5 linked regions of the Neurospora crassa OR74A genome follow. The protein of the gene in region 4 binds, or shares a complex with, the protein of the main gene of each other region. Links are inferred from orthologs where the notes say so. Each region holds a gene or a part of one and is shown on either strand. Other genes may lie near its edges.

Region 1 (4,411 bases), on a different chromosome or scaffold from region 4:
ACGAGGAGTCCGAGGAGCAGGTCTTCAAGATGCGCGCCAAGCTTTTCAAGTTCGTCAAGGAGGCCAGCGAGTGGAAGGAGCGCGGTACCGGTGACGTCCGTCTCCTCAAGCACCACGAGAATGGCAAGACCCGTCTCGTCATGCGCCGCGACAAGACCCTCAAGGTCTGCGCCAACCACTACAGTAAGCAACACCCTACTCTATTGAAGCTGTTCTTGAATGAAGCTTGCTAACCATACGATTCTACTAGTCGTTCCTGAGATGAAGCTTTCCCCCAACGTTGGTTCCGACCGCAGCTGGGTGTGGAACGCCGCTGCCGATGTTTCCGAGGGTGAGCCCGAGGCCGTCACCCTCGCGATCCGCTTTGCCAACTCCGACAACGCCAACGCTTTCAAGGATGCCTTTATCAAGGCCCAGAAGGACAACGAGGCTCTCTTCAAGGCTGCCGAGGAGGCCGCCGAGAAGAAGGAGGCTGAGGAGGATTCCGAGGACGAGAAGGCCGAGTAGATGTGTGGTCTAGTTTTGCATGAATTTGAAGTTGCTTTAGGGAAAGTTTTTCAACCACCCCGTTCTATTTTCCGTTTTGCTAGGTGTTAGAGGGGACGATGACATTACTACCTCCATGGGCTGGGCGATGGAATGAATGAAAGGACCGCTACAGAAGTTATGACGATGATGATTCCTAGGCTAGAGAGCTGGTACATGGGCAGCGTGTGCGAGAACAAAAGGTTGAAGTATCCGACATGAAAGCACTATTCAGGTGTGCGTTTGACGAGATTTCAATATACTGGTAACATACTGCGACGGCCCTTTTGCAACTATGGCTGGCAAGGAGGATGAGGATGGGGATTACTCTTAAGGGATCTAAATAACCTTTAGCTTAACCAACAGTTTTAGATAGAACAACTCACTACCCTTCACACCGATGCATTGCCTTTGGGGGTTTTTGATCAAGTTCTTGTACACACAACCTCGCCTCGTCATACCTGGCTGACGGCTTAGCACGATGGTCCACCAAAACATGAGACGAATCTGATGGACTGGCTAGCTGACGGAAACCTGAGCCTGTCTTGAAAGAAACACAAATACTGAATTCCGTTTGCCAAGTCGTCCGTGACGCGGTCTGGCGACGACCGTATAAAAAATCTGGTTGTTTTGCGGTTTTGGAGGTTTCTTCTCTTCTTGACTACCTTACGGCGAGCTGACGACGATCCTCTTCTTCGCCAGCGGTCTCTCACTACTCTTCTCCCGACGACGCAAAATCACATCTTGGAGCAATTTACTTCAAGATTTCAGGGTCTACTTCAGCATCACCGTCGTCTTTGACAACTTCTTTCCAAGACTTCTGCTTTCTCGATCATCGCGATATTTCGATTAGAGTGGTGATATCTTCGTTCACCTAGGTGAGCTCACCTTGCTTACATCCACGGTGAGGGGTAGAGGAATGCCGGCAAAGCGAGCTGACGCTCACTGCATCACAGCGCACCAGCCACAGCACGCACAGCGGTACCTCACTGAGTGCTAGCGACGGGACAATGGTCGACTTCAGCCATGGTTACGGTTTTGACTATGGCGGCGCCGCGACGCCTCCGTTCGCGAATGACGAAGGTATGTCCCGCTTGAACCAACTTCATCGGAGTGTACATATATTGCACAGTGACCCAAATTCCCAACCATCCAAGTCGCATCAGCACCATAACTCAGTAAAAACCTTCCCACATTGCCTTGCTTGAACACTCCCTTGAGCATTTTTCAACCCAAGGCCATCAGAGAGGAGACACGCTCTTAACCTTAGCCCCTCTTCACGATCACGATCGCGTTCCCATCCAACTTTTGCCTATCCCAATTTGTACGCTATACACCTTAGAGCTACGTTATCCCCATCATTATCCCTGGTTCCCAACCGCACGCCACGGCCCGCCGCGGTACCTTTACCCCTCCGTAACGGACGACCTTATTCTCTACCGCTACAAAGCCCAACTCTAGCAGCGCGACGGAATCTGCGACACACCAACACATACAACACACCAAACACTATAGAGCCCATTGCCAGACAGCCCAACGGATACAACAACGTCGTACATCCTCGAATCCTTGCTCTTCCTCAAGAGCCCGAACGCCACTGTCTTACTACTGTCCTGTACTCGAGACACCGACCGAACGCCGATTGTCAAAAGAGTGCTGTTCGAGTACTAGGACACGAGCAAGTGAAGAGAAGTACACAAAGCTAACCGCGGGAATCCATCCAATTTCTGGGAAGCAGAGGGCCTTGAGGATCGGTCGGACGTTCCCAGTAGTGCTAGTAAGAATACTCGAACCAAAGCTACTAGAAGGAATCCGAAGCGGGTTCCAGGCGCAAACAAGATGATCGTCGAGGTTAGTTTCCGGATTCCCAGTCCAGTGTGGTTGGTAGCTTGCGCAAACAGGGTGACCACTGTAGCGGCATACAGAACAGGTGCAGAGGCAGGGAAAGGAAAGGCCCTAGGAGGAGAACGTTCCGGGATAGCTGTTGTTCGGGAAATGGATTCGACGGCTAACGTGGGTTTATTTGTCTACAGCGCAAGATCAAGGTTGTCACAGAACAACACAATATCAACAAGCCGGCGGCACAGGAGGGCTACCCCATGAAGGAGTGGACGGTCGAGCTCTATATTCTCGACCAAGATGGCAAGGAGAGGCCCGCCAGGTGCTTCACGAAGGTGACCTACAACCTTCACCCTTCGTTCGCGAACCCTATCCAGAGTAAGTAGACACCGGAGCGGCCGCCGGTCACCTCTCCCCATCTCTGTTGTGTCTCGAGAGCCAGAGGTTGGCTAACGCGTCGCAAATTCAGCTTTCAACGATCCTCCCTTCAAATGCACCAACGAGGGCTGGGGTGAATTTGAGATGATCATCGATATGTACACCACCGAGAAAGGCGGCAAGATCTCGATCGCGCACGACCTGAACTTCCAGCAATCAGAGTACGAAAACATCCATACCGTCACCTTCCGTAACCCATCTCAGGCGCTCCAGCAGCTCCTGAGAGAGACGGGTCCCTTGCCCTCGGACGAGGAGCGCAAGCAGAAGAAGGCGGTGGACGGCGGTTCCAAGAAGAAGCGGCCCTACGACATCGAGCGTATGGCGGATGGCTTGACGAAGCTGGGCGAGGATGACCTCCTGCAGGTCATTCAGATGATCCACGATCACAAGGATGACAATACGTACATCCAGAACAACCTCGATGGTAAGTTTGCCCGCTAGGGAGTGTGGCCCCTGGAGGCAACACGAGCTGATGGCTGACTGGACATGTCTATAGCGGGCGAGTTCTCGGTGGATCTCTACACTCTTCCTGACAACCTCATGAAGATGCTCTGGGAGTTCTTGGTAAGTTGTTCTTCCCATTCTTTTGCCCCCTCAATCGGATCCTTCTGTAGCTAAATCGCTAATATTACCACAGGTCAAAGCCAACGTAGTCTCATAGTACGACTTCCTTGGTCCAAGTAACCTACAGTAGTCGATGGCCATCGATTTACGAAGTCATCAGGGACGGGAACATTCTTCCTTACTAGATCGCAGTGCGCACCATACCATACCCAGTACACCACCACCCTCTTTATTCACTATTATTGATCCCTTGACACTTCCATCCACATCAACATCAACCACCTTCACCATCATGCCATTGTAGCCTTAGGCTTCTTCGGCTCCTGCATTACCGTGGCGTTTATGGAGTTATGGTGGGATACGCAAAAAGCAAAAATTGAGAAAGATTCAAGAGCTTCTCTTGACAAAATTTGTGCTTGATTTGATCTTCCAGATTTCTTTCTTTGCGTGATATTCGATGGTCTAGGGTGTGTTCCGTTGAACCGTTTCCTTTCTGCCGGTGGGATCGTTGCCTTGATTGGTGGTGTCTGCTCGTGAGGACTGCTCTTCACTGGAAGGGAGTGGCATCGCTAATCAGTTTGTGCTTTGGGCGGACCTTGAACCTTATCATGTGCAAGGTTTGCCCCTCTAGGTAGGATCGTCATAGGGAAATTTGAGACTGTTTATTGGAAAGAAAGGTTCGGGAAAGGATGGGTAAGAGGTAGAAAGGAGGTATGTAATAGATCCCACGCCCATGGAATTCGGAAGGGAAAGAGAAGCGGTTATGTTGTAGGCGGTACCTAGTTCTCGATCACGGTCTCTCTACGTTGCTCGTCGTATGGCGGTATTAGAAGCAGAGAACATGCTGTATGGTTTAGTTTACACAGTTCAGGGTATGGAGCAGCAGTAACTGTCCGTTCGCCTTAGTCTCCGTGTCTCCTGTGCCTGGACTAGAGCGCTATAGATCTGCCAGCACCCTGCCAGATAGCCATCTTTTTCAGGCATGAGCTCTTGGCTTATATCCGGAGCTACTGCGGTAGGCGATATTATCGGCGGCGGTTATATA
Region 2 (4,114 bases), on a different chromosome or scaffold from region 4:
CCAACTTCTTTATGTTGACTTTGACATAAGCTGTCCTACTAGAAAATCGTACAATAACGCACAACGTCCGCAAAATATCATGCCGCCGCCTGTACACCCTGTGATGCTCCCGGGCCGGCCGCCTTCTTCAAAGCCTCCAACCTCGCCAGCTCCTCCTGCTTCATCCTCTCCTGGATCCTGACTCTCTCCGGGACAATCTGTTCTCTTGGCCTGGTAATCTTCCAGCCTTCCAGGCGGTCTTTTCCAAGAGCCCGCAACGTCACCTGCTCGACGAGTGAATAGTTGCCGTCCTCCCTATCAAAGTTGAACGGCTGCTTCAGCGCTACTGGCGGGTTGGTAATGATGCGGACGTTCCTCTTCGCGTTGCTGGAGGCCGAGTGCAGCATCAGCGGATGAAGTAAGTACACGTCTCCGACCTTGCCTGTTGCCTCGACAAACTGGGTGCAACCCTTGGCCGTGTTGTTGAACCAGTTGAGATGCTGCTCTTGCTTGAACTCGGCATCGCTGCGGGGTGCCATACGTGGCGAGACACCCTCGGGATGCTCGTACAGGTGTTTGGCGAGGATAGGGATTGCCTCCGGACAGATCATGGTCCCGCCGCCCTCGGGCATGATATCGGTGAAGAGAGGAATGACGAGCAGGCCCTGCTCCGGGCTGTCAAGGTAGTGGACGAAGAAGTCACCATCGACGTGCCAATTGTCCAGCTTTTGCGGGGGGACTGGTTTCCCTTCTTTCTGTGGTGTGCCCAGGTTGACGATAAGGGAGTCCTTCCACTTCTTCGACCAGTTCGCGATCTTATCCTCGCCGCCGCAAAGCTCGCTGATGGCTGCCCAGGCACGAGGGGCAAAGTCTGCAGCGTCGAACTCCATATGTGAGGGCATGTTGACACGTTCTTTGTTCCAGGTGGACTTGTCGTTTGGATCCATTCCTAGTCTCGTCCAAACATTGGCGATGATTTCCTGTGCTCTCTGCTGCGTGAAGGCAGCCGGGATCCTGGCATGGTCAGTACCTCGAACGAGGTTGAACAGCTGGTATGGTGGCATGACACCTACTTGACCCAGCCATGAGTGAGGAAGTGTTCCTTCTCTTCAAGACTCAGAGCAGATGACGACGACATGTTCAGTGTGATGTTGCCTTTGGGACACATCCTGTAGAAAGTAGCGTAAAGAACAAGGCTATAGACTGGAACGGGGCCGACAAGCTATCTCTACCCTTATATACTCTTTTCAAGATCCCGCCAGAAACTAACCCAGGCTAATCAATCCGACTGTCACGACAACTCCGGACTCCGAATGGAATGCCGCCTCACACTGCGCCACGAGGCAGCTAGGTAATCCATCCTTGCTCCGTAGGCGCCCTAGGCTACGTGTAACCGGCGGGGTGGTTTTTGGTTTAACCAGAAATACCCTATTGGATATCGCCAGGTTTATTGGAGAGTACGGCATCACCAGTTTTCCATTTTCGTGATAGCGGCCTTTCTGAACCTGAACATCATGTCCCAGTGGTGTGGTTGACAACATCCCGTCGTCAGGGGCAGATCCAGCTTGTCATCGGATGATAGTAACGGAACTCTAAAAAGGTTCCCGGTTGCGGGGCGTTTTCAGCGGGACATCAAGGAAGGTGTGGGCGTGATGCGGGGGAGCTTGAGCCGAACAGCGGCGACATGACGGCAAGCTGCCCTATTGGCTGCTAACAGAGCGTTTGTGTTTCCACTGTCACGCTGCAGTCGATCGGACAAAGACATGGATCCCGTCCTTGTTCCCTTCATCACTTTTCCACTTTAATATTCCGGCCCACGATACTTGGAAGAGGTACCATTCTTGGAACGACGACACACACGGCAACGAGAATTTTACGCGAATAGCTTGAGGAAGACCAGACTGTTATATTCGCGAGATACCAAGATGGCGCCAACACTAGAGCTTCTTGCAGAAGACTACGCGTCAGAGGAAGACTCCGACTTCGCCCCAGAAACTGCCGAAGCCGCGGGAGAATCATCAATATCCGACGATGACGACGAAGAAGCCGGTGAAGATGCCGAGAAAGCGAAACCCGAGAAGAGGAAACGCGCTGCCATCGAGGAGGCGGAAGACGCTGGTTATGACAATTCTGGAGATGAAGCTATAATAAAGAAGGGGGAGAAACGTCAAAAGAAAACAAAGACAAAACTTGCTGCCGACGATGAGGAAACTGGCGAGGGCGGTCTCATCAAGACGCGCAGCCAACGCGCTGTTGAGTATGTTCTCACATCAACCCTCTTCTCTTTGGGTCCTGGGCATTAACGACAATGGCAGAAAGGAGAAACGTTCAACAGCCGCCGCCAGCGGACCTGTTACAATCGACGTCGATGCCCTTTGGGCGCAAATGATCAGCGAGCCGGTCATACCACGAACAAGTACAGCGAAACCAGACGAAAGCGCCGATCCAGCGAACTGTGACATCGCGAAATCGTCATCCCAGCAGCCAGAAACAGCCAAGGCGAAAGATCCCGATTCCGACCTCATAAAGATCAAGAGAACCTACAACTTCGCCGGCAAAGTCCACACTGAAGAAAAGCTCGTTGCCCGCGATTCTGCCGAAGCAAAACTCTATCTCGCCTCTCTCGGAGAGAACGCTCCAGCGGACGGCGAAACAGCCGCCGAGGACGAGTCCTCCTCTGCCAAGCGCATGCCCCGAAAAGCTTTCCGGTCCGTCTTCGAGCCCATCACCGACGCCAACTCGGCGCATCGTTCCGACCTCAACCTGAGCATGGCCTCCCGCCTGCAGGCTCGCGAAGCCACGGGCAACAAGGCCAAGAAGCTCAACACGGTCGAGAAGAGCAAGATGGACTGGGCGGTGGCGGTCGACAAGATGGGCCTCAAAGACGAGCTCGAGCTGGCCGGCAAGTCCAAGGACTCGTTTGCGGCGAGGCAGGATTTCTTGGCCAGGAGCGAGATGCGCAGGGAGGAGGAGGCGAGGAGGGCGAGGATGGCGCAGGCGGGGAAGACGTGAGCGTGTCACGATCTCCAGTCAATCCATTGGTCGCTTGCCTATTATTGTTGTATGGATGGCGTCTCCCTTACCACTACAAGTTTGGAAGGACAGCACTATGCAACACCATTTCATTTCTTACGTTCGCCAAATAGAGATACCCCAGTTTTCAATATCGGAACTTTCCAACGCGTTGAAGACACCAAGCAAAACACGACTTGCATGAACTCAGGGTCACAGTCACATATCAATTCCTTGCAATTCCTGGTCACATTGCAAAGGAACATGCATTTCTCATCCAGAAATCATTTGGCAAGTTGTACCCATGCACCACGCTGTCTGACTCATGATCCCAACTTCTCAATGCAGTTATCATCAACCAATCATCAACTGGCGTGGTGGCGGAGTGGTCTAACGCGCAAGACTAGAAATCTTGTTCCTTCGGGAGCGTCTGTTCGAATCAGGCCCACGTCGAAGTGATTTTTTTTTCCAATTTCTTTTTTTTTTTTTGGACGATTTTATTGTTGAATGGCTCCATAACACCAGTCTGGGGTACCTAGCCACTGGCAGTGGATGCCGACGACAACGCTTTTTGGTCCTTTGTTCACAATGATTTCCCAATGTATCTTGGGAGCTTATTCGATTATTTGGGGGGTTGGTTTCCGCTGATTCAGTACTAGATCAACGACCTCTCCTCCAAGTTGAGAATGTCTAGAAACTCAACAACGGAAGATTATCTACGTCTGACTTCCTGTCTTCAACAGGTAGTTCAACCATCCAAGGTTGTTGGGTACCTCTACCTATGTACACACGCCTTAAAAGCCCTTTTGAGATCTGAAAATAACCTTGAAGGTAGACTTGCTTGAGAGGTTCTACCTTACCCCCCTTCTTACCGACCAGTAGTCGAAGCTGATGCTAATAAGAAGGGGAAAAAAAGGTAACTGAAGGATGGTAAAAGGTGGTAGCGGTGACTATCTACTTGGAGTAGGATTCAGGAGAGCGTCACTTAACTTCGAGTCACATCCTCCGGATGCGATAGCGATACCTGGCGATGGTGAGGATGGATGGGTGAATGGGCAATTTGGGGTGGAGATTTTTTTTACAGGGCCGGGGAAGTGAGGGAGGTCAGCATGATGGTTGTGAC
Region 3 (4,550 bases), on a different chromosome or scaffold from region 4:
AGCTTTGGTGTATCCGCGCTGTTGTCCAGGGCACCTACAGTTAGCTTCTGCTGTGAACGAACTGTTCCATCAGGGGCAACTTCCGAGCACCGGCGCGTTCACCATACTTCCTTGCAACCTACCTACAACCACCACACCTGAACTCCAAGGTGATGACCACATCCAACACCATACATCACATCTCCAGTTATCGTTGCGCCAGGTCTTGAACAATTCACAGAGCCTCCGCTCTGAATCATAACCCAGCAAACGAATGTCACGAGAATGCCCATAATATCGGAGGAAGAAGAGGAGGATGGCACGATGCTGTCCCACCCTTCAGAAGAAGACAACCACGATGATGGCTCGATATCCGGAGACGAGGATTCTTACGACGAGGATGACATCTCGGACGACGACGGCGACGACGAGCACCTCGCGCCCCCACCGCCCGTCTCGCAACATACCTTCGCCCCTCCCTTCTACGGTCGCCCACCGACCCCTCTCCCACCCTCCCCCTCTTTAACCTCCCTGCTGCGCCCCTCGCGTCCCACTACCCCGGACGCCTCCGACGACGAGACAGTAGCCAACGGCGGCGGTGGGGGTCCAGAGGGCAGCAACGAGCCCCTCCCGCGCGCCAGCCCCCGCGTACCCACGTACGAGTACTACGGCTTCGTCCTCTACCTCTTCAGCAGCCTGTCGTTTTTGATCTACCTACTGTGGGCCTACCTGCCTTCACCGTTCCTGCATGCGTTGGGCATCTACTACTACCCCAACCGGTGGTGGTCGCTGGCCATTCCGAGTTTCCTGACAATGACGCTGGTGTACATCTACGTGGCGCTGGCGGCTTACAATACCGAGTACCTCACACTGCCGTTGGGATCGATTGAGACGATTGTGGATGAGGCGGCGCAGGTGGCGGTGGTGGATGGGAAGGGCCAAATCATTAGGCATGATAAGAAATGTGGCATCAAGGAGGAGAAGAGACAGTATGGGCATGGCTATGGACATGGGAGGCATGGGTCGACGGATAGGGAGGTGCTCTTACCTGGGGGAGGATTGAATTGGAGGGAGGTCTGGAATGAAGGGACGGATGCGGTGATGGATGTGCCACTGGCGGGAGTTTGTGAGGTTTTGTATGGAGAGGGGAGGGAGAAAGGGGTGGAGAGTGAGGAGGATGAGGAGGACTATGAAGGAAAGGGGATGTTGCATAGTCCTGGGAATGGACTGGATGGCTCGAGAGTTGGTCGATGGAGTTAACACAGGTTATGAAGGTCCTGAGACAGGATAGACACCTGATCTCTGCTGTATTGTTGTTTTGTCCATTGTGAAATATGATACCCATTTGTTCTTTTTGGGGGTGGCATAATGCTCTGGGTGAATCCGTTGTCGGTATCGTATACAGCTGAGAGTTCTACTTCCCATGGATGTCGTAACTTTGACTTCTAGGACTTCTAGCGAGTTCGTGGGCTCTGGATCAGCAACGACAGGCCAGCGACAATCTTTGAGGAGTTTAACCAAAGCTAACTGCTCATGTGCGTCTTACTTCTCTTCAAGCTTAAAAGACCTATCAACAAGTTAACAGAGCTCTTGACAGGTTCGTTGGATTGCTATTTCCATTTTCTGTCCCTGATGCCCTATTACCGTAGAGGTACGTACCGCGCCCCACTTTTATGTAGCTGGAGGAGAGCCTGTCCGGCCTTTTACTGGTATTCACGCGCGCGCGCCCCTCGTCTTTGAAGCTCCGTTGTCAAATTCCATTTGATTTCCAGTTCATCGAACTTCAACGGAACGCGACGGGACCGAGCTATTAGACGCGCAGCGCTGTTTGGAGATCCCCGCTCACACCACTTCTTGCCCTCCGATAATACACCTCAGCGATTTTCCATTATACAGCGTCGGTGCCTAACATGTCCCACCAACAACCTCTCTCGTCGTCGGTCCAGCCGACTGACATCTATGGCGGAGGTAAGCCTAGTCCAAACGCCTCTGACCAGCGACATTGCCCAAGCTTCAAGGCTTGCAATTGACGGCTGATTATTTCCTTAGATGAGGTATCCGCGCTTGTTCTCGATCCGGGCTACTGCAACACTCGCGCCGGCTATGCTGGCGAGGAAATGCCCAAGCAAGTTCTCCCTTCTTTTTACGGCCACATCAATGGGCGTGACGTATTCGGCGACGAGTATATCGTGCCAAAACCGGGCTTCGAAGTGCGCAACTACATGAACCGCGACAGCGTTGTCGAAGATTGGGATGCTGCCACCAGGATGTGGGAACATGTTCTCGTCAAGCGTTTGCAGCCCGAGCGATCAACACCTCCCAGCAAAAAGGGTATCAACATTAGTGACGATGGCGATGTGCCCATGGAAGACGATGGAAACAACAACGAGGATGCTACGGACGCGCTGGAGAAGCCACTGGCCGAGAACCCTCTTCTTATGACCGAAGCGCCGTGGAACTCGCCCAAGGCGCGCGAGAAGGCCATCGAAATCAGCATGGAGACTTGGGGCGTGCCCGCATTCTGGCTTAGCAAGACACCTGTGCTCGCAGCATTTGCGGCCGGAAAGGCCACGGCTCTGGTAATAGACGTGGGCGGTGCCAACACGAGTGTCACGGCCATCCACGACGGCATGGTCCTCAAGCGATCGATTCAAAGGTCTCCGGTGGGCGGTGTTTGGCTGAGCAGCCAGATCTGCAAGATGTGGGACGGTAGTGAGCCCAAGGTCGACGTTGTGCCGCGGTTCATGGTCGAGAGTAAGAAGCCCGTGGAGGCCGGTGCGCCTGCCGAAGCCAACCTGCGAAAGTTTAACTTCGACATCCACCCGTCCTTCCGCGCTTACGAGGAAGAGCGTGTTCTCACCGAGTTCAAGGAGTCTGTTGTCGAGGTGTGGCGTGGTCCCCAGCGGTTCACGACCCCCGGAAACGAAGATGCTGTCCGTACACAACCCGGCCGGGTCTTCGAGATGCCCGACGGCAGCAATCAGATGTGGCGTGAGCAGCGCTTCAAGGTGTCGGAGGGCATGTGGGACGAGACGGCTGCCTATAACAGCACTGACGAGGAAGGACGTGTTACTAAGGCTCAGACGATCCCGGCTCTCATCAAGGCGGCCCTCGAGGGTGTTGATGTTGATCTCCGCCCCAACATCCTCGGCAACGTTGTTGTCACGGGTAGTACAAGCTTGTTGAACGGTTTCAACGACCGTCTCAACCACGAGCTCGCGCAAATGTACCCCGGTGTGAAGATCAAGATCCATGCGGCGGGTTTGACGACCGAGAGACGCTTCGGTGCTTGGATCGGAGGAAGCATTCTCGCCAGTCTCGGAACCTTCCACCAAATGTGGATTTCGCGAAAGGAATATGATGAGAACGGCGCGGGCATTGTCGAGAAGCGCTGCAAGTAGGATTTCACTTTGTCAATTGCAGAAAAAGAAAGTTGTCGAGGCATGAAGTGGAAAACCCTCCCACGCCGCGCTATGGAAATGGCGGGAGGCTACAAAACATCGGATTCCAAGTCAGGCCACAATGGTTGATGCCTAAAGTGCTCACACATTCATGGAGTTTGTGTGGGGTGGAGTGTGGTGGTCATATAAGATGGGCATGATATTTTCTACGTCGCTAATTATCAGGCAGGTGTATGTTATGGTCGCACGATATGGCGCGGAGGCGTTCCGGAGAAATGGATTTTCAATGCTTTCAGCTTATGAAAGATACACGCCAACCATTGCCTGTATTGCCAGTTTTGACTTTAATCACGGCTAGATCCCAGAGCTTCAACTGTCTCCAAGTAGTTCATTCACCGTAAAGCTTCTACGTACAAAGTGTAATTTCTTCTAGACAATCCATAATCCTCTCATCAGTCCTACCTGTCAATGGGGCAGCTATACTCTCTCTTCGTTCCAAAACTAGCTCCTTTGGAAACCGCGCCCCCATGTTTCATCTCAAGAGCGTCCAGGCATGCTTGATGGTAGATGTGTCTGCAGGCCAGCACAACCAGAGGGCTAAGCTTCTGTTCCCGGTTTGCCACTATTGGCCCTTGCACGCCTTCATGTCCAGAAGTGTTTGCTTGCTGGTTCGGGTCGTTCATTGACTCCCCTTGCTGCTTCAATTGCGGGCTCACAGCCTTTCCCTTGCCCTTCCCCTTTCCATCTCCATTTGCATTTCCATTATACTTCTCCCCACCCTGGGGCCCGTCCGTTGCCGGCCACGCATGATCCTTGCCCTTCCCCCGTTCAGTAGTAGCACTCGCCGCCTTGTTTTTGCTCATGGTGAGTTGCTTCCTCGCCTGGCGTTGACTCTCCTCAGCAGCCTGGCGATCTTCCCACGCTTCGTAGACATTACCCGCCACACCAGGACCCCAAACTCGCCGGCCGCAGGCCTCGCAGGTGGAGCCTTTAGGACGCCAACCTCGCTGGCGGAGTTGGACGGCTTGGCTTACACTCACAAAAAGACTGCGTTCCAAAAGCCGGTTTGAGAGGCTAAGGATGGATTCTTCGTATGCGTATGCGGCGAAGATACTGGAGAGAACTGAACGGAGATCTGCAAGGTTAGGCGACGACGCCGCGGCGCGAGTG
Region 4 (4,341 bases):
CAACTGTTTGGTGGCCTGTTGGGTAGAGAACTTGCATGACTGGAACTGGGCCTCCGTTCATCTCTGTAAACATTACGAGGCTGGCTATCGCGACGCGGATGGGGGTCTGCCGATGGTCGGCGGTCGCTTAGAGTGGAAGGCCGCCTCGGGTACGAGTCCGGCGGCCTGGAAGACATGGTGCGTGACACCAGGCGGACGGATGGGGGTGTGCAGTGAGACGAGACGCTGCAATCAAGCGTGCGCCTAACAGACAATATGTGGCGAGGTATAAGACGAGAGTGTAATTGTGACAATGGTGGGGCTGACCTGTGCCAGCGGTACAGACCGACGTCAGTCAATGTCGGAATTGAGCCTGAAATGTGTGTCGATGTTCAATATTGTAGGTTGAAGATTGTAATGCGATACCGATGCGGGTAGACGCGTAGATAGAGTCAAAGTTTTAAGAGGCCCCGCACCTCCTCCAGACGGGAATGAGATCAGACTAGGGCTTGCCGCACAAAGATACAACAAGCTGATGTATTTTTCTGTTCCTTGTCTAAATGGACAGTCGAACTAATAGTTCTGAATGCATTCCGGAACGCCAGGTTTACAATCGTCGAAGATGTCCTAGGGAGAAGAGAGAGGGGAAAAAAAAAAAGAGGAAAGTGTCTGCCATTTGGGTGGGGAAATTGGTTTAAATATTTCTGGGGAACTACTATGAATGAGCCCAAGGTAGCAGAGTTGCAGATTTGCAGCTCTTCCACTCCCAGGTCACAAAACTTCTCCTGTACACTCAAGGAAGGCGCTACGGACCCTTGTCATTCTGTCCCTTCAATGGCCAGTCATAGTATGTAGGTATGACTGGCCGAACGTCACATTTATCTTATTGATATCTTCAAGTTGTATTACTATTTCCTTCAGCTCTTTCATTCTCGCTCCAATCAAACATCCACTGCATTGGTACCCTATGTCCCTCTACACTTAGCCTGGGTTGAGGAGGATGACAGCATGCCTCACATATAGTCTCCTGACCCAAGAATCCCCTGAGGGCCGCTTCTAGCTTCAGGTCCCAGTGAGTAGCGTACCTACCTACACTACTTACTTGCGTCCATGTTTATTTTGCATGTTTGCATCTTCTTCCCTTTTGCATCCGAGTCACGAACCCCTGCCAACACTGTTGCCTTTTCAAAGAACTTCCATCTGTATATAAACAGGTCGTCCGACTTGCTTAGTTCTCTTTCCAAATTGACTGCTGGACAAAGAGGCTTTGTGTTGTGATGATCAGCTCAATCAATCGAATTCCGATGTGGGTCTAAAATCCGGGGCCTTGTGGGACCCCCAGGGCCGCGCCCGGGAAGGTTCAGTCCCACCCGCCGGCACAAGTCCGAGGACTGTCTTCAGTTCCTTCAAGTCTCCGCCCTTCTCTGTCACCGTTTGGATCCTCAGCCACAGTGGCGTGTAAGTCGACGTATTGTTACGTAAACTCGGTAACAAACCACTCGCTGGAGGCCCCGGCCTGTCTACCCATGCACGCAATTGGAGAAGTCGCTGCAAAGTTCCATCACAGCGCGCGGCGACGCGCACTGCAGCTTTGAACTTCCGTCGTCGTACTTCTCGCTCTTTTTCAAGCACATTCCATCATTCACTGCCAAACCATCCCTGCATCCACCTGCAAACTAATCCATCACCACCCACCCACCGTGATACCCAAATCCAAGCGACCTTTCTTGGAAAATTCTGTAACGTCAATCGGCATATTCAATATTAATATCTTGCAAATCAGTGGGCAATATGGCTGCTGTAAGCTCCCCACCTACCCCCCAACATCACAATACCTTGACGGAACACCAGCTGACCTCTTGTGCCCATGCCATAGCAGGTCGTTACCGTCGGAGAGAGTAAGGACCTCCGGGGTCTCAACCTCATCGCAGCGCACTCGCACATCCGCGGGTTGGGCGTCGATGCCGATACACTCGAGCCCAGGGTTGCCTCCCAAGGCCTTGTCGGCCAGGAGAAGGCGCGTAAGGCGGCTGCTGTCGTTCTTGAGATGATTAAGCAAGGGAAAATTGCCGGCCGTGCTGTGCTGATCGCCGGTCCGCCCAGGTTAGCTCGTCTTGCTGTGCCAGTCCTCATGCGCATACCGTTTCGTGTACTGACCTAGCTATGGAAAAACAACAGTACGGGAAAGACTGCTCTGGCCATGGGTATGGCCCAGTCCCTCGGCACCGACGTCCCTTTCACCACCCTTGCCGCTTCCGAAATCTACTCTCTAGAGATGTCCAAGACCGAGGCCCTCACCCAAGCATTCCGCAAGTCGATTGGTGTCAGGATCAAGGAAGAGAGTGAGATCATGGAGGGTGAGGTGGTGGAGATTCAGATCGACCGGAGCGTTACCGGCCACGCCAAGCAGGGCAAGCTTACGATCAAGACGACCGACATGGAAGCTATTTACGACATGGGCAGCAAGATGATCGATGCTATGACCAAGGAGCGCGTCATGGCCGGCGACATTATCTCGATAGACAAGTCATCTGGAAAGATTACCAAGCTGGGCCGATCGTACGCAAGGTCGCGCGACTACGATGCCATGGGCGTCGACACCAAGTTCCTGCAATGCCCCGATGGCGAGCTACAGAAGCGCAAGGAGGTCGTCCACACAGTAACGCTGCACGAGATCGACGTCATCAACTCGAGGACCCAAGGCTTCCTCGCCCTCTTCTCGGGCGACACGGGCGAGATCCGCAGCGAGATCCGCGACCAGATCAACACCAAGGTGGCCGAGTGGAAGGAAGAAGGCAAGGCCGAGATTGTGCCCGGTGTTCTGTTCATCGACGAGGTGCACATGCTCGACATCGAGTGCTTCTCGTACATCAACCGCGCACTCGAGTCCGACCTGGCCCCCATCGTCATCATGGCCAGCAACCGGGGCCACTCCAAGATCCGCGGCACCGACTACAAGAGCCCCCACGGCCTGCCGCTCGACTTCCTCGACCGCATTTCCATCATCAACACGCACTCGTACACGCCCGACGAGCTCAGACAGATTCTCACGATTCGCGCTCAGGAGGAGGAAGTCGACCTTACCCCCGACGCGCTCGCCCTGCTCACCAAGATCGGCGCCGAGGCCGGCCTCCGGTATGCGAGCAACCTCATCACGACGTCGCAGCTAATCTGCGCCAAGAGGAAGGCCAAGCAGGTCGGCGTTGAGGACGTCCAGCGCAGCTTCAAGCTGTTCTACGATCCTGCCAGGAGCGTCAAGTTCGTGCAGGAATCGGAGAAGAGGCTCATCGGCAGTGATGGCGTGGTCGATTTCCGTGTCAATGGCGGTGCTACGGGAGAGCCAGCGGCTACTGCGGCTGGTGGTGATAGCATGGATACCAGCAGCTAAACAGTCATGGGACAATGCGCTACAAGGATTAATGAATAATCTTGGGGTTATGATTTTGTTTCGTCTAGGCGTTTAATTGGGATGGCTCATCAAAAAGGCGTCTTTGTTATGATAACACTGTTTTCTTAAGCTTTATGTGTGCCTAGTCGTGGTTTTTTGTCATGTTACTGATTATGGTGATGGCATGGAGTCTGCAAATATCCGTTTGTATCATACAACGAATCGAATCAAAGTCGAAGCGTGGGGTAGCAGGAAAGGGCATAGTAGGGACGAATGACGACCAGCTGCTGAGGAGTTCCCAGCATGGTGATAAGGCTTTTGATTCTCTCGTCGCTTGGAACCGGGGGTATACTATCACACACAATCGTACAAAACCTAACCATGATGATCATACGAAGGCTGCAACCCTAGACCACTCCCCCTCCCCTCCGCCCACCGGCCTGAACTCAACCGCCTCCTTGAAGTATCCCGCATCCTGCCATGCCTTCATGGTGGGCCCGTCATACGGCCCTTGGCTTCCTCCTCCGTCTCTCCCATCTGTCCACCTAAACTCCCACATTTTGGGTTGTCCGTTTAGTGACGATGGCTGCTCTTCCTCCTTTTCAGGAACAGTAGGCTCCACCCAGGTCTCGCCCGTCTCTGCTCTATACTCTCTCACCAACCACTCCCTCTCCTTATCGTAAATATCCGGATAATCCCTTCCCAACAACTTATCCGCCGCCTCAGTAATGGCATCAATCGCCTCCCTGATCTTTTTCTGCTTCGGATCCTCCACTTCCTCCTTCTTGTCATCCACGTCCATCGAATCGATGCCCTGTTTCCTTTCCTGCCTCTTTTGCTTCCACTTGGGCACCTTCTTGGGCCCCTTGGTTTGATCTTTTCCAAGTCTTGCCAGCGCCTCCAGCGCCGTCTCCCCTTTTTCGAGCGTCAGGATCAAGTTTCTAAGCAAGTCCCCAGTGGCGATCTTGTCATCT
Region 5 (4,422 bases), on a different chromosome or scaffold from region 4:
TTTGCACACGAGCCTTTCTGATCATCTGCACAACATCCTTGGTCTTGCGCTCCCGAGCACCCTCGGGAGGGAGTGCAGTGTAGGGGTCGGGGTTGGACCACTTGGGGGTGTTGTTGGCGCTGGTCGACTGATCAAGCGCAGTGCGAGCACGCTTGGTCGACGGCTCGGCATCTTCAGCAGCCTCATCTCCAGAGATGTCCATCTCGGCCTCATCACTGTCGGACAGTTCGTCGACATTCCGGTAGAGCACGCCCGTCTCGGGATTGTAGAGGGCCTCTTCATTTCCAGACTCATGGGTACCGCTCAATAGCTCGCGCTCAGCCGCAACAAAAGGACGCCACGGTTTCCTAAAACCTCCGTGGGGGCCAGCGTTGCGGCCTCGTCCACGGCCACTGGGTCTTCCGTGGCGACGATCGCCTCTGGGAGAGTGGGCTCTGCGGCCATTGTAGGACTGCCTGTTGTCGTTGGGACGGTAGTTGTCGTAGCTCGAATTGCTGACTCCCGGCGGCTTCTCTACTCTAAACGAGAAATCACCCTGAGGAGGCCGGTAATTGTCGCGATCTCTTCCACCGCCACCGCCACCGTTGTTGCGGTTGGAGTAGTTGTCGGAGGGACGGTACGATGTCGGCTGGGGAGGTCGGGCAGGGAGACCATGAGGGCCATTCGGCGCGCGTTGTTGATAGCCATTGCGGTCGTCCCGAGGGTCGTTACCACGACGTCGACCGCCGCCGCCGCCACCGCCGTTCTGGTATCGTTGTGACATGCTAAAACTAGCAGTTATGGGTTTATGCGATACTGACCACGATAAAGCGCATCGAGTGAGTGCTCGGTATCGGAGCACAAGAGGATGAGGTTGATTCCACAAGGGGGGCAAAATACGCTGAGAGGTGGAAATGTTCACCTTGTCATTTAATTTTTTTTTAAAAGTCAGAGGTAAAAGTTGAGTGGGGCAACATTGATGGGATTTGTAGTGGTCGGGTTGCAGAGTTCAGTTGCCGTGACGGGAGCGGGAGTGTGCTCTCAACAGTGGAAGTGAAGTGATGGATGACGGAAGGCAGGGCTGCCCGGTCCCAGTCGAGATTTCCACAAGGCCCTAGGCTGCGCTGTGTGTGTGTGTCTCCGGTGTGTTGTGCCCGCTGCCGCAGTGGCAGGCGCCGGCAGGTTCCGTTCTCACTCTCCGGCGCTGTCAGGTCAGCGAGTCTTTAGTGTACACTTGCGGCGGCGGAAATGATGAAATGCCAAGCAAGAGAACCCCAGCCCGTCGAGGTCCGGGTGGCACTGACAACCCTTATCGTTCCCCTTATCAGCAGGTCCCGTCGTCGATGCAAGTGGAAACCCAAACAATTGACGGTTCTTGCGACAACAACCGCGACGCGACTCTCCCACGCACTTCAAGCTACGAGGGCCGGGGCGCGAGAGGGATTCAATTGTCAGCAGCTGTTGTTTCAGTACTGTCATGACCGGACGAGGAGGGGCTAAAAAGTCCCGGGCGGCAGGGCCGGCACCCCCCACGACAACCCTGGTTCTCGACAACGGCGCCGACACCATCAAGGCTGGATTCGTCTCCGATGACAAGAGCGACGGCAAGCCTCGCATCATTCCGAATTGCCTCGCTCGAGACCGTCACAGGAAGATCTATGTCGGCTCGGAACTCGAAAAATGCAAGGACTTCAGCGAATTGGCCTTCAGGCGCCCCGTCGAAAAGGGCTTTATCGTCAACTGGGAGGCCCAGAAAGAGATCTGGGATCGCGAGTTCTTCGACGATAAAGCTGCGCAGAAATGCGACCCATCAGACACCAGGCTCATTCTCACAGAGCAACCAAATTCATTGCCTTCTCTCCAAACACACTGTGACCAGATCGTCTTTGAGGAGTATGGCTTTGCGAGTTACTACCGTGGCCTGGGTATGTCGCCTCCTAGAGAGCTGTTAGGGAAAGGGTGCTGACCTTGTTTTCTAGGTCCTGTCTTCAACGCGTACCGGGACATACAATCCATCTTCCGAACACCCCAATCCACCATAGACAGTCCAGCCCAAGTCATCCTGCTCATCGACTCGGGTTACTCTCACACCACCGTTACGCCTATCCTCCAAGGCCGACCGCTACATCCGGCCATACGAAGACTTGATGTGGGTGGCAAGCTCATGACCAATTATCTCACCAGGTTACTGTCCGTCCGCCACTTCGACATGCGCAACGAACCATACATTGTGAACGAGATGAAAGAAGCAGTCTGTTACACCTCCCTGGACTTCAAGGGAGACCTGGAAAAGACTTGGAAAGGGACGCGCGGCGAAAAGAGGGAGGACTACTTGAGCGGTGCTGGCATCGCCAAAGACTACGTTCTGCCCGACTCCCACACGCGCTTCCACGGTGTTGTCCGCGACTACGAGCCTGGTGTCTCGGCGCGCGCCCGCAAGGGCATTGTATCCACAGAGGACGTCCTGACGCTACGGAACGAGCGTTTTGTTGTTCCAGAGCTCCTCTTCAACCCTTCTGATATCGGCATCCGGCAACCTGGCATCGCCGACCTAGTCAAGCAGTCCCTCTTGGCTGTGCCAATTGGACTGTGGCCTGGCCTTCTGGCTAATATCGTAGTTGTGGGAGGAAACAGTCTCTCTGAAGGGTTCTGTCAGCGCTTGCAAACAGAGATTCTCAAGCGATTCCCCGATGAATGCAGGGTCAGAGTTGCCCGCCCGGAAGACCCTATCATCAGCACCTGGTTGGGAGCTGCCAATTTCGCCAAGCATGAACATGCCAGTAAGCTCGAGGTCACCAAGCAAGAGTATGAGGAACATGGAGCTGCTTGGGTGGCAAGAAAATTTGCTGCTGGGCTCGGACTCGACCCCTGAGCATTTGCTTGGAGTCTATTATTGCCATTTTTGAAGCTTTCCAGGGTTCATTAGCCCATAAAGCGATTGCCAAGCGGCTCCCTATGCTGCTTGATTGAGTGCCCGGCTGGATACTACCCAGACAAAAATGAGCAGGGTGGGCTAGTACGCTTTGCTTCTTGCCTGTCTCTGGACGTTGAGTGCCATACACTCTGTCTGAAAAGCGCCGTTCAATCCGAAACCCTGCCGTGCCATGCCAGAACACCAAGACTCTGTCTCGATGGGCTGGGTGTATAGACTGGGTGTTGATCTTGATTGAGATGCACTGGGGCAAAACCGCGCAACTGATCTCAGCTACCTACAGCTCTACACGGAAAAGCAGGTATCAGAGTTTCTGAGGGCGAGCTACTTGCCACCCTTGTGATACCCATGATGCTGCCTTTGGTAAAGTTTTCAAAATGGTTTGAAAAAAGGATCAACGCTAACCCTCGGAAAGAGACCAAATCACACCATCGTCCTCATCAGTGGTTTGTTGTGATCGCCTGCAGCTTCTTTATTTTAAACAAACTTGGCTCAGACGAAGAATTTGGCCCATTTCACCTCCAAAGGTGCAAATAACCCAATATATATGAAGCTCTACTCTATCAATCGGATCTTGCCCAAGCCTAGCTTTTCAGCCTCTGCATTCAGAGCATCAATCTCTGCCTTGGCATATGGTATGCCATCTTTCAATCTCTGCTCCTCGTTCAGCTGCTCAATCTCGCCCGGGAAGTAAATTCTGTCGACGCCATGCATCTTCTCCGAGTTCACCGCTTTCTGGTATAGGATATCCATGCGTTCCCTGAACTCGTCCAGGCTCATGAACAAGTCAGGCTTGATGGCCACGAAGAAGTGGCCAACGTCCCCCGGCTTGGACATATCATACGGCCCCGTGACGCCTCCAGCAAACGCAGAACCCGAAAGCACGCCGGAGAAGACATCCATCATGATCGCCAGCGCCGACCCCTTTGGCCCACCCATAGGCAGCATCACGCCTTCCAGCGCCTTGGCCGGATCATCAGTTTGCTTGCCCTCCCCATCCAAAGCCCAGTCAGTCGGTATCTTCTCTCCCCTCCTCAGCGCCTTATAGATCTTGCCCCTCGCTGCGACCGACGGGGCCATGTCCAAGATGAACGGCTTCGACCCCTCGCCCTTCCCACCCGGCGCTCCACAGGCGATGGGGCTTACACCCATCATCTTCTCCTTGGAACCCCACACGGGCAGCGCAGGCGACGAATTGGTAAAAACCAGACTCATCATGTCCGCATCCACCGCTTGCTTCACAATCCAAGCGGACATGCCAAAATGATTGCTATGCTTGACGCTTACCATTCCAATGCCATAGACGCCCGCCATTTTGATGGCGGTGTCCATGCCCAGGTGCGCGGCGGGGAAGCCGAATCCGTTCCTCGCGTCTATTTGGGCGACTACGGGCGTGATCTGCTTTAGTTCCGGCTCGGCGGCTGGGTCCAAAACCCCGCTACGCACGCGTGAGAGGTAGGATGGCAATCGCAGGATGCCGTGGCTTTCAACGCCGCGCAGGTCAGCTTGGA

The links.
Region 1: NCU06854 (region 4) and NCU00444 share a complex: the UniProt entries of both Saccharomyces cerevisiae proteins name them as parts of the chromatin-remodeling INO80 complex. The link is inferred for Neurospora crassa OR74A from reciprocal best matches to the Saccharomyces cerevisiae genes RVB2 and TAF14.
Region 2: NCU06854 (region 4) and NCU06491 share a complex: the UniProt entries of both Saccharomyces cerevisiae proteins name them as parts of the SWR1 chromatin remodeling complex. The link is inferred for Neurospora crassa OR74A from reciprocal best matches to the Saccharomyces cerevisiae genes RVB2 and SWC5.
Region 3: NCU06854 (region 4) and arp-4 share a complex: the UniProt entries of both Saccharomyces cerevisiae proteins name them as parts of the SWR1 chromatin remodeling complex. The link is inferred for Neurospora crassa OR74A from reciprocal best matches to the Saccharomyces cerevisiae genes RVB2 and ARP4.
Region 5: NCU06854 (region 4) and NCU05587 share a complex: the UniProt entries of both Saccharomyces cerevisiae proteins name them as parts of the SWR1 chromatin remodeling complex. The link is inferred for Neurospora crassa OR74A from reciprocal best matches to the Saccharomyces cerevisiae genes RVB2 and ARP6.

What each region holds. Positions count from the first base shown.
Region 1 is NC_026503.1:3,880,057-3,884,467, forward strand, and holds the start of NCU00444 (transcription initiation factor TFIID subunit 14), read left to right. Parts: upstream 1-1,533; 5' UTR 1,534-2,364; coding exon 2,365-2,376; intron 2,377-2,558; coding exon 2,559-2,742; intron 2,743-2,833; coding exon 2,834-3,226; intron 3,227-3,298; coding exon 3,299-3,366; intron 3,367-3,439; coding exon 3,440-3,463; 3' UTR 3,464-4,411. Other genes in the region: NCU00443 (ran-specific GTPase-activating protein 1), read left to right, coding at 1-183, 251-507. UniProt on the Saccharomyces cerevisiae protein: Functions as a component of the DNA-binding general transcription factor complex TFIID, the RNA polymerase II associated general transcription factor complex TFIIF, and the chromatin-remodeling complex SWI/SNF.
Region 2 is NC_026503.1:1,608,084-1,612,197, forward strand, and holds NCU06491 (SWR1-complex protein 5), read left to right. Parts: upstream 1-1,484; 5' UTR 1,485-1,904; coding exon 1,905-2,236; intron 2,237-2,294; coding exon 2,295-2,991; 3' UTR 2,992-3,352; downstream 3,353-4,114. Other genes in the region: NCU06490 (hypothetical protein), read right to left, coding at 78-993, 1,053-1,147. UniProt on the Saccharomyces cerevisiae protein: Component of the SWR1 complex which mediates the ATP-dependent exchange of histone H2A for the H2A variant HZT1 leading to transcriptional regulation of selected genes by chromatin remodeling. Involved in chromosome stability.
Region 3 is NC_026501.1:2,713,502-2,718,051, reverse strand, and holds the start of arp-4 (actin), read left to right. Parts: upstream 1-1,720; 5' UTR 1,721-1,889; coding exon 1,890-1,947; intron 1,948-2,028; coding exon 2,029-3,380; 3' UTR 3,381-3,838; coding exon of another isoform or gene 3,839-4,550. Other genes in the region: NCU16367 (hypothetical protein), read left to right, coding at 265-1,239; NCU02554 (golgi complex component), read right to left, coding at 3,839-4,550. UniProt on the Saccharomyces cerevisiae protein: Chromatin interaction component of the NuA4 histone acetyltransferase complex which is involved in transcriptional activation of selected genes principally by acetylation of nucleosomal histone H4 and H2A. The NuA4 complex is also involved in DNA repair.
Region 4 is NC_026502.1:1,746,015-1,750,355, reverse strand, and holds NCU06854 (RuvB-like helicase 2), read left to right. Parts: upstream 1-1,541; 5' UTR 1,542-1,770; coding exon 1,771-1,779; intron 1,780-1,855; coding exon 1,856-2,082; intron 2,083-2,157; coding exon 2,158-3,367; 3' UTR 3,368-3,755; downstream 3,756-4,341. Other genes in the region: NCU06853 (hypothetical protein), read right to left, coding at 1-176; NCU06855 (hypothetical protein), read right to left, coding at 3,756-4,341. UniProt on the Saccharomyces cerevisiae protein: DNA helicase which participates in several chromatin remodeling complexes, including the SWR1 and the INO80 complexes.
Region 5 is NC_026506.1:1,416,567-1,420,988, forward strand, and holds the start of NCU05587 (actin-like protein arp-6), read left to right. Parts: upstream 1-1,357; 5' UTR 1,358-1,456; coding exon 1,457-1,904; intron 1,905-1,958; coding exon 1,959-2,851; 3' UTR 2,852-3,274; exon of another isoform or gene 3,275-3,326; 3' UTR 3,327-3,466; coding exon of another isoform or gene 3,467-4,422. Other genes in the region: NCU05588 (topoisomerase TRF4), read right to left, coding at 1-763; NCU05586 (malate/L-lactate dehydrogenase), read right to left, coding at 3,467-4,422. UniProt on the Saccharomyces cerevisiae protein: Component of the SWR1 complex which mediates the ATP-dependent exchange of histone H2A for the H2A variant HZT1 leading to transcriptional regulation of selected genes by chromatin remodeling. Involved in chromosome stability.